2 linked regions of the Drosophila melanogaster genome follow. The protein of the gene in region 2 interacts with the protein of the main gene of each other region in a pairwise test. Each region holds a gene or a part of one and is shown on either strand. Other genes may lie near its edges. The genes, in order: PolH and Rev1.

The links.
Region 1: the proteins of Rev1 (region 2) and PolH interact in a two-hybrid assay, tested with the Drosophila melanogaster proteins (one study listed by BioGRID).

Annotation. Positions count from the first base shown.
Region 1 is NT_037436.4:21,936,814-21,944,546, forward strand, and holds PolH (DNA polymerase eta), read right to left. Parts: upstream 5,000-7,733; 5' UTR 4,957-4,999; coding exon 4,525-4,956; intron 4,471-4,524; coding exon 3,974-4,470; intron 3,916-3,973; coding exon 2,187-3,915; 3' UTR 1,821-2,186; downstream 1-1,820. Other genes in the region: SLC22A family member, read left to right, coding at 326-429, 490-1,441, 1,507-1,704; CG14562 (uncharacterized protein), read left to right, coding at 6,933-7,245, 7,304-7,733. UniProt on the Drosophila melanogaster protein: DNA polymerase specifically involved in the DNA repair by translesion synthesis (TLS). Plays an important role in translesion synthesis, where the normal high-fidelity DNA polymerases cannot proceed and DNA synthesis stalls.
Region 2 is NT_037436.4:651,443-659,524, reverse strand, and holds Rev1 (DNA polymerase Rev1), read right to left. Parts: upstream 5,163-8,082; 5' UTR 5,084-5,162; coding exon 5,048-5,083; intron 4,990-5,047; coding exon 3,632-4,989; intron 3,578-3,631; coding exon 3,295-3,577; intron 3,233-3,294; coding exon 2,809-3,232; intron 2,747-2,808; coding exon 2,693-2,746; intron 2,628-2,692; coding exon 1,940-2,627; intron 1,876-1,939; coding exon 1,731-1,875; 3' UTR 1,554-1,730; downstream 1-1,553. Other genes in the region: MED30 (mediator complex subunit 30), read left to right, coding at 5,515-6,471; CG3402 (uncharacterized protein), read left to right, coding at 6,761-6,814, 6,953-7,081, 7,249-7,437. UniProt on the Drosophila melanogaster protein: Deoxycytidyl transferase involved in DNA repair. Transfers a dCMP residue from dCTP to the 3'-end of a DNA primer in a template-dependent reaction.

The sequences.
Region 1 (7,733 bases), about 21 Mb from region 2:
TTACAATTTAGGTAAATATTCAGTGGGACTGATAACTTTGACTGAATCCAATTTCCATTAATTTTTCACAAGGTTGATCTATGCTCGGCATAAATCAGTTACGGTAAGAGCATTCAAAGAACTAGGAAAAAAAGGAATTTTGTACAGTATTTCAGAACATAATTTTGAGCTCAGACCTCCAACTTCGAAATACCTCTCGTAGCTTAATAAATATTTCGTGTACGCCATTGCTAAGAACGTGAATTTTCAAAATGAGCGAATTCAACTATTCTCAATTCAAAGTACGTGTGAGCGACAAAAGATTTGAAATACAGTTCCATTGCAGTTTGGCATTTTCTGCGATGATGAATGGAAGCTATCTATGGTGGGAACCATAAACAACTTGGGACAATTCTTCGGCATTCCCATCGGGGGCTTTGTGGCGGATCGGTAAGGGTACACCACACCTTAACCTTATGCTCCTTGATCATCACACATCATTTTAAACAGATATGGACGGAGTTTCTCAATCGCTCTCGGCGGAATATTGGGAGCCGTGCTTGGCGTAATTCGCTCCTTCTCGCCCAGCTACGGTTGGTTCCTTGTGTTCGAGTTCCTGGACAACATGACCAGCAGTACGTTGTACTCCACCTGTTTCGTGATCGGGATCGAGCTAGTGGGACCCAAGCGACGCGTGCTGGCGTGCAGTGTGATTACGGTCTTTTACGCGGTGGGTGAGGTGCTGCTCGCGATGTCCGCCAAGGCGTTCCACGATTGGCGGATCCTACTGCGCATCACGTACGGGCCCTCGCTGATCTTGCTGGCCTACTTTTGGATCCTGCCGGAGAGTGTGCGCTGGCTGCTTAGTCAGGGCAAGGAGGAGCGGGCCAAGAATATCCTTCGGCGAGCCGCCCATGTGAACAAGCGCGAGCTGCCGGAGAGCGTGCTGGACAAGCTTGTGCTGGCCAATCGGGACAAGTTGCAGCAGTCGTCGGAAAGCCGTTTCCCCATACGAGAGGCTTTCAAGAACTTCAAGTGGCGCATTGCTAACTGCTCCCTCTGCTGGATTGTCCACGTGCTGGTCTACTACGGATTGAGCCTTAATGTTGTGCTGTTGGATGGAGACAAGTACAATAACTTCGCTTACATCGCCCTGGTTGAGATTCCAGGCTTCTTCATGCCCCTGCTCATCATGGACCGTTTCGGCCGGCGGTACTCCCTCTGCGGGCTGATGCTAGCCAGCGGTCTTTGCTGCATCGGAACGATATTCACCGGCGCGGATCAGCCAGTGCTTCAATTGGTGCTATTTCTTGTTGGCAAACTGACCATCACTGCCAGCTTCCAGGTGCTCTATTTCTTCGCCTCAGAGATCTATCCCACGAATCTGAGAAACAGTCTGCTTAGCTTCTGCTCCATGATGGGCAGGTTTGGTTCCATGCTGGCCCCGCAGACGCCTCTTCTGGTGGGTGCTCAAAGCTACAAGGATCTCCTGTTATATCTAAGTGCTTCCTTTCCCTTTCTCCACAGGCCAAGTATTATGCCAATGCTCCTGCCATGCTCTTCGCCGGCGCCGCCATCGTGAGCGGCCTGCTCACGCTGTTCTTTCCAGAGACCACCAACGTAGTTTTACCTACAACAGTGCAGGAAGCGGACGCCATAGGCGTCAAGAAGCAATCGAAGAGCAAGGATCTTGATCTAGTCGTCACGGCCACTCAAGCGCAGTAGTTCTAACGTAATCTTATTTTAAGGCAGCCTGCAAATACAAAGACAAATACATTTCTCTTCAAATGTGTTATAACGCTAAGAACAAACCATACTATACATATAAAATATTTAGCATTGACAGAGCGTTGTGTTTTATTAATTAACGGATGGATGGTAATGGTAATGATCAACATTAATACTTAAGCCTAAAATTGGAAAAATAAAACAAAAAAAATTAAATCTAAGAGTTTCATTACTCGATTTGAAAAAAAAAATAATAAACAGCAGTAAAAAAAAGAAATAAACAATCCTAATCAATTTGCTGTCCAGAGCCAGATTGAGATTTTAATAACTAGGATATGTGCTAGCAAAAAATTATTATTGTTTTTTAATTTGGAATTGAATGTGAAAATGTTTTAATCTTAAAGTGAAGTAAATTTGTCTGTGGTCCATTCGTAGGTACTTATACAGGTTCAAATACTTGGAGCGGTGTAAGGGTTTCTCTAATTGCTTTGGCTGAAAAACTGGGCAATTGTCTTTGTTCCGCTTGAAGATGCAGAAATGGTTGAGTTCAGTTTCTTCTGAGATTGTTTCTTTGGCTGAACTGGAGATATTTTTTCTTTATTCAGAGCTGCGGTTCGAGTTCGCAGATCCTGCTGGTTTAGTTCACGTTGAAGGTTTCTGGCTACGTGGTAGTCTAAGTGTTCCGGCATGTCTACACACTTGATGAAAGCCTTACACTCGGGGCACTGATTCATCTGTGGATCACTGGGCGCTTGCTCCTGAGTTGGTTTGGCGCGGAAGAACTTGGTTATGCTGTTACTCGGTGGTGCCGTACTGTAGGAACTGCTACCAGAACCAGCCGTCTTCTTGCTCTTTTTGGGTGGCGTCGGCTTAAGAGATATCTTCTGTCGGCTCTGCGTCCTCTCTTCCCGCTCGGTGCTTCTTAGCGTTCGGCTTAGTTCCTGGGCGAAGTGATGGTCTCTATGTGTTTGTAGGGACTTAACTTCGTCGGGAATGTTTGCTCCGCACTGATCGCATTTGATAGTAGGCAAGATATCGGTGCGAAGGTTGGGTACTGCAAACTCTACGTAACACTCCTTGTAATTACTTACAGAACTTTCGATCTCATCGAACTTTCTTTTTGATGTTGAAGGCTTCAATTCGTCTTCAGTAAGCGTGGGAGGCACAATACCAGTTTCAACGTATAAGTCATTCCCTGTTGAATCATTCAAGGTGTTTGGATCCTGTTCTTGTCCGGCATCGGATGACTGTCCTTCAGGCTTAGACATGTGGGTATCACTAGTTAACTCCGTCTCCTCTTCAGTGTCTTCTTCAAAATCTTTCGAATTGTCAGCCTCAATGGCGTCCAATTCCTCGGCCAGCTCCTGCACATCTAAGGAGTCCTCCCTCGATGTAACCGACCCTTGCTGTCCTGTCTTTTTTTGTTGTTTTAGGTACTGTGAAAAAAAGCTTTCCTTGAACTCCGCTGGTGTTGATGTGAGAACAGTTCCTTCAGTCCTTACGGCCGCATGAAGCTTATGTTTGTATTCCTCTACGAAATTCTTGTTTGGAGCACCTGCTGCAGCAGCCAAGGGATTCGCAGAAATGCCGTCTGCTTTCGCATCCTCTTTTTTAGCTCCTTGCAAATAGTTTGCAAAGAAGCTCTTCATCTTAAATTCGTCCGTTTGCTTCTGCTTTTTCTCCATTTCAACTTTAGGCAGTTGCCCTGGCTCATCTCCACTTACCCTTCGTTTCTTGGCAGCCTGGTTAGCAAACATCTCCTGCAGCTTGTTTTGCCCACTAGAGACGGTTTCGAACTTGCCAACACTAATGCCAAGGAACTTGATAGCATTGTTTAAAGCAGACTCGCTACCAGGACGCAGAAACGTTTTAGTGTTTGCCTTGATTAGGTCTAGAGAAAGCCTTACGATGGACTCCTGGTCGTAATCTCTGAGAGCAGTCGAGCGGGAGCTGGCCACCTCCTCGCCGTCAATGTCCTGCACATATTGCACCACCATATGTTTGGCCCTGCGATTGTTCTCGATGAAGTCCTTCTCAAGGCGGTCGTTGATCTCGGAGGAAAGCTCACCAAGCCAATGTTGAAGGGTTTTCAACCCCGTAATGTTATTTCGACCCGGAAACTTTTTACAGCAGCCAATGCTTTTCGAATAGAAGCGGGGAGTCACGGCTTCCAGGTCTATGCCGCGAGAGATGTTAAATAGCCAGGTTCTGGAATAAGAGGAAATAAGTTACTTTGAACGTGGTCTACTCCTCTTAAGGGACCCACCCATTCTTCTCGTCAAACTTGCGCTGCAGATCTACCTCCGAAAACTTGACCACCTGGCCCATGAACTTTATGCCTAATGTCTCACACACCACCTCACCGAATTTGCCACCCAGCCCCTTGATCTTGCCAACAGGCAAGGAGTCGAAGAGGCTGGCGGTCTCCGTCAACGGCAAAATAGTCTGCTTGTTGGGCTTGTTCATTCCAGCTGCCAACTTGGCCAGGATCTTATTGTGCGCTATGCCAGCCGAGCACTCGTAGCCTGTCTCTTTTTTTACAGCCGCGCGGACTTCACCTGCCACAGAGGCTCCAATAAGAAGCCGAATGTCGCTTTGTCGGACGGCGGGAAGGTCGTTTTGGTCGTAGGACATCTGGTAGCGTTCGTCGTCCATGTAGGGATTGGCGAAGCGATTTGTTATCTTGTTGACGTAGTCGCCAATGCTGGGATAGCCCACAGCAAAGGTGTTCACCAGTTCCTGCGGTTGCAATGCAAAGGCTCCCTGCAACGAGGAAAATAATAATAAAACGCTTTAAAATTATGTGCCAGAGCTTACACTCTGCATCTGCTGCATGCGATGGTTAACGGTCTCCGTTATGTCCAAGTACGCCTCATCCACGGAAGCGCGCTCCAGGAGCTGCGTAAATCGCTGCAGCACGTTGGCCACCTCCTTGCCGGCATCGCGGTACTTGCTAGTATCGGCCTTCTCCCGGATATTCGGCACCTGGCAGAGCACGATCTCCGGACACAGGTCCTTCGCCTCGTCGCCGCGCATGTGGCGAGTGACTCCCTTGGCACGAGCGGCGTAGTTCACTGCTATGATGCCGCCACCTCGCCAGGGATTGTACTGGACGACGGCCAGCGGGCGGTTGCGGTATTCCGGATGCTGCTTCTCCTCCACCTGGCAAAAGAAGCAGTCCATGTCCACCAGCAGGACCACGCGGTCGTACTTGTTCTGCATGCTGACATGGCTGCGTGCGCTGGACATGATTTCATTTCGTATTATTGCGCGAATTTCACTGCGCGCCAGGAGTGTGGCCGTGGCGGGGACTTCTTAAAATACCGATGCATTTTTGAATACTGAATACATTAAAGTGTTTCCCATATTTAAATCTGATAAAAGAATTCGGAATAATAATAATAAAAATATGCTCTTTAACACATATCAAAGCAGTTGTGTTATATCTTCGATATAAATCATTTCTTAGTTAGATATTCCTTAAAGTAAAAGTAAAGAATTTTGTTGAAAACATATTTTCGATAGTAGTGGAGCTTTATACTTTTAAAGACTCTCTTATTACTAAGCTATTTAGAAATTCAAAATTAGAGAGTATTAAATAACGTACCCTTGTATCGATGCTTTGTAGTCTAGCGTAGTTTGAAAAATACTTATCTCTACCCAATCCGTACTTCGCATTAGAGCAAAACCTGGTCACACTATATTGGATATTTTATAGTTTGTCGTTTCTCACTCGGAAATAATATAAACAAACGCGAGTAAATATTATGTGCAGTCCGGGGAGTCCTGGGAGTTATATTTACGTGGCATAACTACCACCTAATAATAAGTAACATATATTGTCGGAACATCTACGCCGAAGAAGAATGCATTTCAGAAATCCTTAAACCCTGTCTTCTGTTTTTCTGTATGGAATAATAAAACGAGTTTAAACGTAAGACATTGCCAAAGAGTAAATTATTTGCCAAGTTTCCAGCGGCACCTTCTAACAAAATGCTTAGATATTGATTTTTCCATATAAGCCGCTGCCAAAATGCAACTGAAAACGCACACACATCTCTTAGTGACCCCATTCCCCGCCGTAACACACATTTGCATGTTCTGGCTTCTCCATTTCCCAAGTTCATTTGGGTTAACGCACGGATTACGCGGGAATTATTGATTTGACCGAGCGACCAGAAATAAATCTCAATCCTTGTCTATTTCCGGCTATGCCACTTCCGTGTCCGCCTCCTGGCCGGCTGTTTTGATTGATGCGCCGAGTGGTATGTCCAGCGAATGTCCAATGGCTTAATTGGGCTAACTCACGTATAGCTACTCGGAATCGGGGTTGGGATACCGGGCCCACTTTAATCGCCTCATAGAATGCCGGTGGTGGTGGGCGGCGGAAATCAGGAAGGGCGTGTTTTTGTATACTATCGTGACCTAATTTCCTGTCTGTTTACTCTATGGTCAAAGCGTACAATACAACAACGCAGGACTTCCACCTGAAGTAAAGGTGCAGCACTGACCTATTGGAATACTTGATGCCGCACGACGTTGGGACGGGTTCTTGTTTTACCAAATGTACCACTCTCTCTTTTAAAAAAGGTGTTCAAAAGTTCGATTGCATATCTATGATTCTGAAAGACGGATGGTGAATGAAAAAGGTGTACTGCGAGTGATATTTTTGGATTTTCAATTTAAAATGTATTTATCACAGTTTTATTTGCTTCCCTACTTTTTGTGACTCCAGATAGTATACATACATATATCGTAGATTAACAAAATTTTTACCGATTAAAGATTTAATTTTGATCGCGACTTTATCTACAATCCCGAAATATTCTGCGGCTAACTCTTATTAAATTTAAGTGCTTCACTTTTTAACTGCCCTATCCTAGCCTAGCTTGCCCATATGCGCTAGCCTTAGGCCTCATCGGCACATCCACTCTTCCGATCCCTAACCCCAGTATAAGCGCACAATTATGCTAATGGTTCACATGCCCAAATAAGAACCACTTGAGCCCCGCTAAGCGGTCCGCCAATCCACTGTCACTCGGACTTCTCCCTTTCTCTGTCCCACGCTCAGTCAGAGAACTCCCTGCTCTAGTGGCTGATTCACGGTGAGGCCATCAGTCTGTGTACGTCCGGCGATGAAGTCACTCCACTAAGCTGAGGGCTTAGTTTGTAATTCTAGAGTGCCGTAAAAAAAGAATTCATCGTCTTTTTTGTAGAGAGCCACCATGGTGAAGATCCTGCAGGCCTACAACTTTGCCAGGCAGCAGACGTATGCCCTCAACGGTGACATCCTGGCGGCCAGCCTTATCGGGAACAACCGCATAGCCATCAGCAGTGCTGAACAGTTCATCGAGATCTACGACATAGGTGCCAAGCAGGCTCAATCTGAGGACCACACAAGAACGGCACCAGAGGACGTTGGACAATCCAATGAGACGGCAGGAGAATCCACCACCACCGCTGGTGATGAGAGGACGCCGAGCAGGAGCACGCTGGCCACGGTGGGAGAAGTGGTGCAACTTATTTACTGTGAAGCTGGTGAGTATATATTATGTATATGTATCTGAAAACGCTACTAAAGATGAATCTTCCTCAGGCAAATACCTACTTACTCTTGAAAAGGAACAGGCGGGCAGTCCGGTGCACTCCTCCTCCACCATTAGCTGCACATCAAGCAGCAACAGCAATACAGTCTGCTCTGAGGACGACACGAAGATGTTCGTACGCATCTACGCCAACTTCTGGAAGTTCCCGGACAGCCGGCTAAACGAGCTGCCCATTACCATTCGAATAGCTTCGATGACCACGCCCAAGACACCGTTGGTGGAGAGCATCGATGTGATTGAGCTGCCGTTGCGCAGTCCGCCGGAGCTGGTGCAATGCTGCCAGACATCCGGAAACATCATTGTGAGCAGTCGTGACAGGATTTACCTCTACGAATACACCCAGTGCGTTCATGAGAACACGCAGCCTAGGTTCGCTTTCATCGACTTTCTGCCCTTTAAGTTCTTCGTGCAACTAAACTT
Region 2 (8,082 bases):
CTAAGCTGTATCTGTCTATTATAAAACGTTCATAGGGATAGCCCATGCAATGAAAACTCAGCACTCCCAAGAATCTGGGCACCTGCCCTCACCACATCACTCCACTCCAAACTTAAGCAACCCAAACCAGCCGCCGTGGAGTCGTTGACAAATCGCGTCGGCAGCCAACGAGTCTATCAAGGCTTGACAACATTTGCATCTGGTCCGGGCCAACTTGAGATAACTCGACCACATCATGGGGCAAGTTGCAGCGGCTGCTGCATGTTGCTGCTACCGAGTTCCGCGACGACAGGATGCATAAAATTTATGAAACAACGACGCCTTTTGCGCACATAATTAAATCAGACAAAGCGTAGCTCATGTAAATCCCGAGTGCCGGGTGCAGCCCATTTCGTCCCATCCCATCACATCCCATCCAGAGTCAAGCCAACCCACAGAGACACCAGCCACATCGACACCGGATGCTGAGCCAGAAATGCAGCTTGACTATTTTTAATTACCGGGCAACATCTGCTCCATCTTCAGCTCCAGCTGCCAGCCAAAGTGGGGTGGCCAGTGGTCAGTGATGGACATTGTGAGAATTTATTGGCCAGGTGGGATACGAGTTATATTGTACATGTCGGATAAACAATTACTTAGCTGAAGTACCTTGGAAATAGGTAATGATTTCTAATGCAAAATAAAAATCTAATAAGGATTAATAATATTATTTATAATTCTTTACCTATCATTTCATGTATATGGTACTAAGTCCATAGGACACTCATTCACTAACTCTACCCATATGGATTCTAAAAATAGGTACATATCTTCGTATGATCCCAAGTTTTCCCACCTCTGCCTTCCTGGCATGAGCACTGTAATTGTTATGGTTGTCATGCGGTTGCGGATGGGATGGGCTGGGATTGGGATTGGGATTGAGATTGGGGCAGGTGGTCGCTGACTATTCGAAAAGAATTGAGAACACATAAAGTAAAATCAATAAAAAATTTACCAAAAATGTGTTCTACACTTTCATAAAATATATTTTTTATATTGATCTAGCCCTAAACAAAAATCCTTATAATGTAGATTGCTTTATGAAACCTAAGGCTAATTTTTTTGAGTGTAGGTATGCCGCATGCGAATCAATTACATATTACAGCCGTCGCAGCGATTAACTGCAGTGACTTTAGAGAACTGTTCAACACTAACCTGTTCGAATCGATGCCGCTTTCATTAAAGTGCAAATTATGACTTGCCAGTTCCGCCAGGTGTTGTGCCCGCCTGGCCTATTTGTCTTGAGTGGCCGAGCCTTGGTGGGAAAGAGCCACACTGGGGCGTTTGGTTGAGCCACCCGGCGGTGGCTAAGATGCAGCTCTGCCCTTTGCGTATGAAGTTATCAACGCCATCGTCGCAGCGGCCACAGCCCCACTTTATTTACCGCACTTGCAATAATAATTGCTACCTGTCCCCGAAGTTGTAGATGAATAGGAGCATGCTCTATATCTATATATAGGATTTAGTAAGATATGGAAAAGTATTAGAAGTGTAGGTTACAACAAGTCAGTTATATGGTATGGATTGAATTTTCTTTACCAGAATGTTTTATTTTTGGCTCGAATTAATGGATGGCTTATAAACTAATGGCTCATTAACATTATCAGCTGGCCGCATTCATAGCTTGGCGTTACATTATTATAATAACTATTCTCAATGACACCCAATATCCGTTCTAAATGTCCAGGGTCTTAGGAGCACTTTATGCAACGAATGTACTCAATGAATAACAGACTGTAACCCTCAATCGTAAGCATTTGGTTCTGGATACTCTCCTCAATGTGCTTATAAGCCACGTGCCAGCAGCAAGAGCTGCTGCGTTTCATATTGATGATCCTGCAAATGAAAGGTAGCAAAAATGTTGAGCAGAAATTAAAAGTGTTTTGATGGAACTATTTACCGGCACCAATACTTCATCACATCGCACACGTGGTCCAATTGGTCGTTCTTAATCATACGAGAAACCTGCTTGAGAATAAGATCCACGTCATTCGGCTTTGGCACCTCCTCGCGACTGACCCAATCGTTCAGCAAGTCCTTGTAGTTGTCCCCCATCAGCAGCTCGGGCATCTCCACGGGATGTGAGATGAGCTTCAGAATATGGGGATTCACGAAATCAGGCAGATCATCAATGTAGTCTGCCACAATCTGATCCGATCGGATGTAATGCTCTTGCTCCTTGCGCTCCTTGCGCTTTTGCAATCTAGCCACAGCCGCCCGGGAAGTCGATGGCTTAAGATCGGTGGCCTTTAGCGGGCTCACATTGGTGGTGACATATGGATTTAATAAAGGCGGTGAGCGGAGGGTCGGATATTGTGGAGAACGATATCCATCGTACTCGGCAATGCAGAGGTGTTCCTCCCTATTGGCAATCACCTCGAGGCGTATATCCTCCGGCAGCTGAGCCAAAACATCCTCATCAAGTTTTGGTACAAGGGATAATGGCCGAGTTATCGGCTTTGAAGTTCCTCTTTGACTCCTGTCTTCGGTTACCGATTTCCTGCTCACCGCTGCTGCCGTGAGCATACTCAAAACATTCCTGGGCTCACGGGGCTTAGGTTTATTTTCAAACACGAGTGGTTTGTTGACTGCAGATAGATGATATACAGGTCTTAAATAAGTTGGGAAGTAAATTATTTTTCAGCTTAAATACCTTTATCATCGCCTATGGACTTATCGCCAACTGCTCCTTGGGGTATTGGTTTATCTAAAGGAAACGTGTACGACATTTTAATAAAATCGGTATACAAAATTGGCCGGATTAAATACCTTTCCTCATTTCGGACATTTTGCCGAACATCTCCTTGATATTGTTCTCCTTCCGAACTTCGTTGGCATCCTCCAGCCTAGTGAGATGTATGCCTAGCCCACGCAATTCGTCGGGCGGTATATCGGCGTCTTTCATCAGGTCGAGGACCACCGTGGTGATTACATTTACATCATCCGTGGCATATTTGATCAGAGAGGACTTGTTGATTATATCGCAAACTCCGTGGCCCATGTACTTGGAGGTTTCGACTGGCGCTTCGGCGGCGCGCACCATTATCTTCAGATTAATCGATCTAGCTTTGCGCCTTATCTCAACCAGACGCTTAGTAACCTCTTCGCTGAGCTGACACAGAAATTGTTCGCACTCGACCGAGTTGGTAAAGCGAATACCAAAGTTCATTTCGGCAGAAACTGTTTTGCGGATCTAAACGAAAAGTACGGTATTAGAAACAAATATGTGGGACGCAATAAAATCTGCACACCAACCTGCTCGTAAGCCAAAGGACGATCATCAATTCCTCTGCAGTTCTGGAACAAATTCTGTCCAAGTTTCTTGCCCAGCACTTTTTCCATCTTCTCCAACGTTGTATTCTGAACATCTCCACAATTATTCAGTCCCGCCTGTTTGAGCTTATGGCTTATGCTGCTGCCCACACCGGGCAGTAAATCCAAAGACATCGGCGCCATATAGGCCAAAATATCATTGCTCGAATCCAACAAGAACTGGCCATTCGGCTTGGCCTCCTTGGTGGCCATACGCGCCAGCAACCTATAATATATATAATATATATTATAATTGTAAAAGGCTTATTTGGTCTCTCACTTGTTGCCTGCCACTCCTGCTGAGCACGGACATCCCGTTTTGGAGTAAACCTCCTGCCTGAGGTGACTCACAAAAGCCATCACATCTACATTGAGTTCGTGTGCCAGATCGGTTAGCTCCACAAACATCTCGTCGCAACTCACAGCCTCGATATTTAAGGTATACTGAGCCACTGTGTCGTACAGAGTGAAAGCCACCTCCTTGTAGCCTTCGAAGTCGTACGGAATCGTCTTTAACTCCGGGCACAGCTTCAGGGCCTGGCCCACAAACATGCCATTGCGGATACCCTTTTCCCGCGCCTCGTAGCTGCAGGAGGCGATCTCCGAGAGCGACATTTTCTTGTCGAAGCCCGAGCGCACCTTTTCCGCCTTGTCTCCATCGTGGAAATGGTGCTCGAAGCGCTGGGCAAAGAGTTCCAGCTCTGCCTTTCGGTCCGCCTGCGGATGCACCGGTACATCGGTGGCTGCGTTACCTCCCTTCGAGTGGGTCACCGCAATCGGCAGCCCACGAAGCTCAGGACGGGTTCTTAGGCCCACGGACACAAAGAAGCAGTCCATGTCAATGTGCATCACATAGCGTTCCAAACAATTGTGGTGTGAATTAGCAAGGGACTTCAGTGTCTCTCTTTTGGGAAAGCCCTGGGTACCATGCTTCTGACGCAACCGGCAGACATACTGCTTGAAACCCGCGCCTAGAGTGGCGATGTGATGCAGTCGTGAGTTCTTATAGAATTCACTTAAGAAATTTGGATCCGCGGCTGTGCGAGCGGTGGTGGAGTTATTCGAGGTGGTGGATAAGTTTGTGATCTTGCTCTCTGATGCACTGGCCTCCTTTTCCGGCGAAGTGGCCACAGCCTGCTGCAAATTCTTGAGAATGCCACCCAACTCCATTTGCGTTTCATCTTTTGTAGAGTCTACTTCCACTTCCGCTTTATCTTTCGGCGGCTCCACATCCGATTTGCTCTCATTTGCGCCGTTGTCTTTGGGTTTCCCAAAGATGAGCATGGGCTGCGATGTCTTCTGGTTCGTGTACAGCAGATAGGGTTTGTAGTCTACTATCTTCTTTTTCTCCAGACAATCCACCACCCACTTGGCGCTGATGAACTTGCTGAGATTCATGTTCCTGACCTTCACATCGGGCAGAACGGAGGCTATTATGTACGTCGTGTGGCTCCTTTCGTAGTGGTGAAAGGTCCCGCCGTGCACCATCATAATACGCTTCAGTTCATCCGCCGAAGGGTCAGTCCGGCCGTTCACAAATATAGAAATTCCTTGGAAGAGGTCCGACTTGCGAAATGGATCGCTGGCGGCAGCGAACTGCTCCTCAAGTTTAGATTTCTTGGCTTCGAAGTAGCCGCCCTGAAAAGAGCAGGTTTGGTTTATGTACAATGTTTTTAGCATTTTATCTACATCTTACCCATTCACTAAAACCATTATCCTCATCGCGGGTCATTTTTAATCGTTTAAAAGCATGAAAAAGCCAAAATTGAATTCCACCAATACCGCTCAGCTGACACACCTATGTTCATTATTTTTGCGCGCATGTGGCAACTCTCTTTTCGCATGGACGCATTCCTAACGAGTTTTGCAGGGGGCTATTATTACCATTTTGGATTTGACTAAGAATTTAAATTTTAGTAATCACCAAATAAAAACTTAGTAAAAACACTCAAATTTATCTAGTGAAGATAATCTAGATCTAGATCTAGATCTATCATTTAGGATTGGTAATTTAAAACCCGCGACTTCACAGCTGTTTGCGAGCATACAGTTTCAGCGTTATCTAACACTATCCGTTTTGTTTTATGTTATCGACAACAGTGTCATTTGCCAAAGTTTATCGTTCTGCGTGATATTTTGTTTATTTTATAAGAACGTTGCAAAATGTGGAAATACGGTCAAAACCAGGGTAATCAGGGACCATCGAGCGGCGGCGGAGGAGGCGGGGGCCCCAACATGATGCCGATGGGTGGATTTGGCATGCAGCACGGCAATATGCAGCAAATGCACATGTCGCCTCAACATCAACAGCAGCAACAACAAATGGGCATGATGGGCGGCCCGGGTAGCATGCAGATGAATCCCCAAGGACCTGGAGGTCCTGGCGGCCTGATGCCCGGCATGTCTCCGCAGCACCAGATGCAGCAACAGCAGCAGCAGCAGATGATGCAGCAGCAAATGATGGTGCCCCAACAAGGAGTGGGCGTCGGAGTGGGAATGGGCGGTGGTGTGGGAATGGGCGGAGGGGGAGTGGTTCCACAGCAGCAGCAACAGCAGCCCCAACAAAACATGCCCCAGCAGAACATTCCCCAACAGCAACAGCAACTCAATCCGGTCGCAGGAATTCCACCCGGTGGAGCCGGGGGCAGCAACAATATGCTGGCTATCTCGCAGCAAAATCCTCACAAGGAGATTAACATTGTGCAGCTGTCCCGTCTCGGTCAGGAAACGGTGCAGGATATCGCCTCGCGCTTCCAGGAGGTCTTCGCCTCCCTCAAGGGCATCCAGCCCACCTCGCACAGGGAAAACAGCTCCGAGAAGAAGGTGCAGGAGTACTTCCGCACCATCCGGCTGCTCTTCAAGAGGGTGCGCATCATCTACGAGAAGTGCAACGACGCCGGAATGGATTACATGAGCGCCGAGAGTCTGATTCCCTACCGCGATGAGCCGGAACCGAGAATCGAGCCCTCGCTGTGCGATGAGTACCGGAAAGTCCTGCAGGAGAACCATGAACTCATAGAGACCGTCAAGCTGAAGAACAGGCAGCTACGCGAGATCATCGATCGGACACGCATCATCATCTGGGAGATCAACACCATGCTGGCCATGCGGCGCTCATAGGCATAGGGACTCTAGATGTATAATATAGTATAAATAAAACTAAGAAACATTGCCAAACAGCAATCGTAAAGACCTTCATGTTTTTATTTTATATGAAAAGTATATATTTAAAGTCAGCGGCAGTCGCTGGCAACAATCGCATTATTGCTGCAACCTATCGATTTTTCGCCATCGATAAATGATTGCGAGGAAGAAGCAGAGTTTGTTGTGGGCGACAATCTTAAGACGAATTTACCAGCGGAATCTTAGCTAATCTAGCAAATTAAAGTTAGTCAAAGCATCGGTAGACATGGCGAAAATGGCATTCCAGCACCAGGCCGGCACGGCGATGGAGTGCTTGAGCGTAAGTTGCGAACGAACTAAACCTGGCTCACACGCACAGTCGCCTGTGTGTGTATAGGTGAAATTGGGTCGCTGGAGCAAAAAAGACAAGCCACTTTCAAATTCGAGTGATTGATGAAATGTGACTCACAATTCCCAGATTCCCATCACGCTGCACAAGGAGAAGGACTACGACCAGGAGGGGCGCGAGATCCTCAAGTGCGGCTTCAAGATCGGCGGCGGAATCGACCAGGACTACAAGAAAAGCCCTCAGGGATACACGGATTATGTGAGAAACTTGGGAAACACTAGAACCTAATTCCGGGCATAAAAGAGAGCTTCAATCTTAAAGCTAATAATTATAGCTCTCCTTGAAAGTCGGGGAATTTAGTTTTAGTTCGGTATCTTAAGAGCAGTTTCAATGTTACAATGTTACGTTTTCCCCTTTGAAAATAGGGCATCTATGTGACCGAGGTGCACGAGGGCAGTCCCGCCGCCCGAGCAGGTCTGCGGATCCACGACAAGATCCTGCAGTGCAACGGCTACGACTTCACCATGGTCACCCACAAAAAGGCCGTGAGCTACATCCGGAAAAACCCGATACTCAACATGCTGGTGGCCCGCAAGGGCGTGACCTCCACATAAGTGGTGCTCGGAGCAGGGTCTCCACAGACTACAGCAGTATTTAAGCGGCATTTAAACTATCCCCTCCACCGCCCCTCTGGGCTACGGATCTCTTTGCCTCCTGCAACCTATGCGAATACTTAGAACTACCATATTATACATATTAATTCATTACGTATGCATATCGCACACACATGTAGCCAGACGTAAATGTAGCACCTAGTAATGCTTCTTGTTGAATTCGATTTCTTTGCCTCTCCATCACTTGTTGAACGAATCGCCAAGCTCCTAAGTGTAAAACAGATTGCCAAATACCGATACAAACAAACACTCCCAGAAACAACAGGCTCGAATATAAACAATTTTGTACTTTTATACGTGCAGACCATTCCAAAACCAAACAGAAGCAGCAGCCGAACGCAGAGTTGTTGAAAGAAACATACATTCATAGTACATACTTGTGATAAATGACTTTAACTGTGCAGATATGTGCGAAGAAGGCGCATCACTTAAGTTTAAAATTGAGTTTTTAATGTTATATTGCATTTGAATAAATGTTTGCTAAATAAATGTGCGAGTTAGACGTCTTCTTGTAACTTTGGTCAGCTTAATGTGATTATGCCATTTTTGATTAAGATCTGACAAATGGTTGATGCAGTTGTGTGT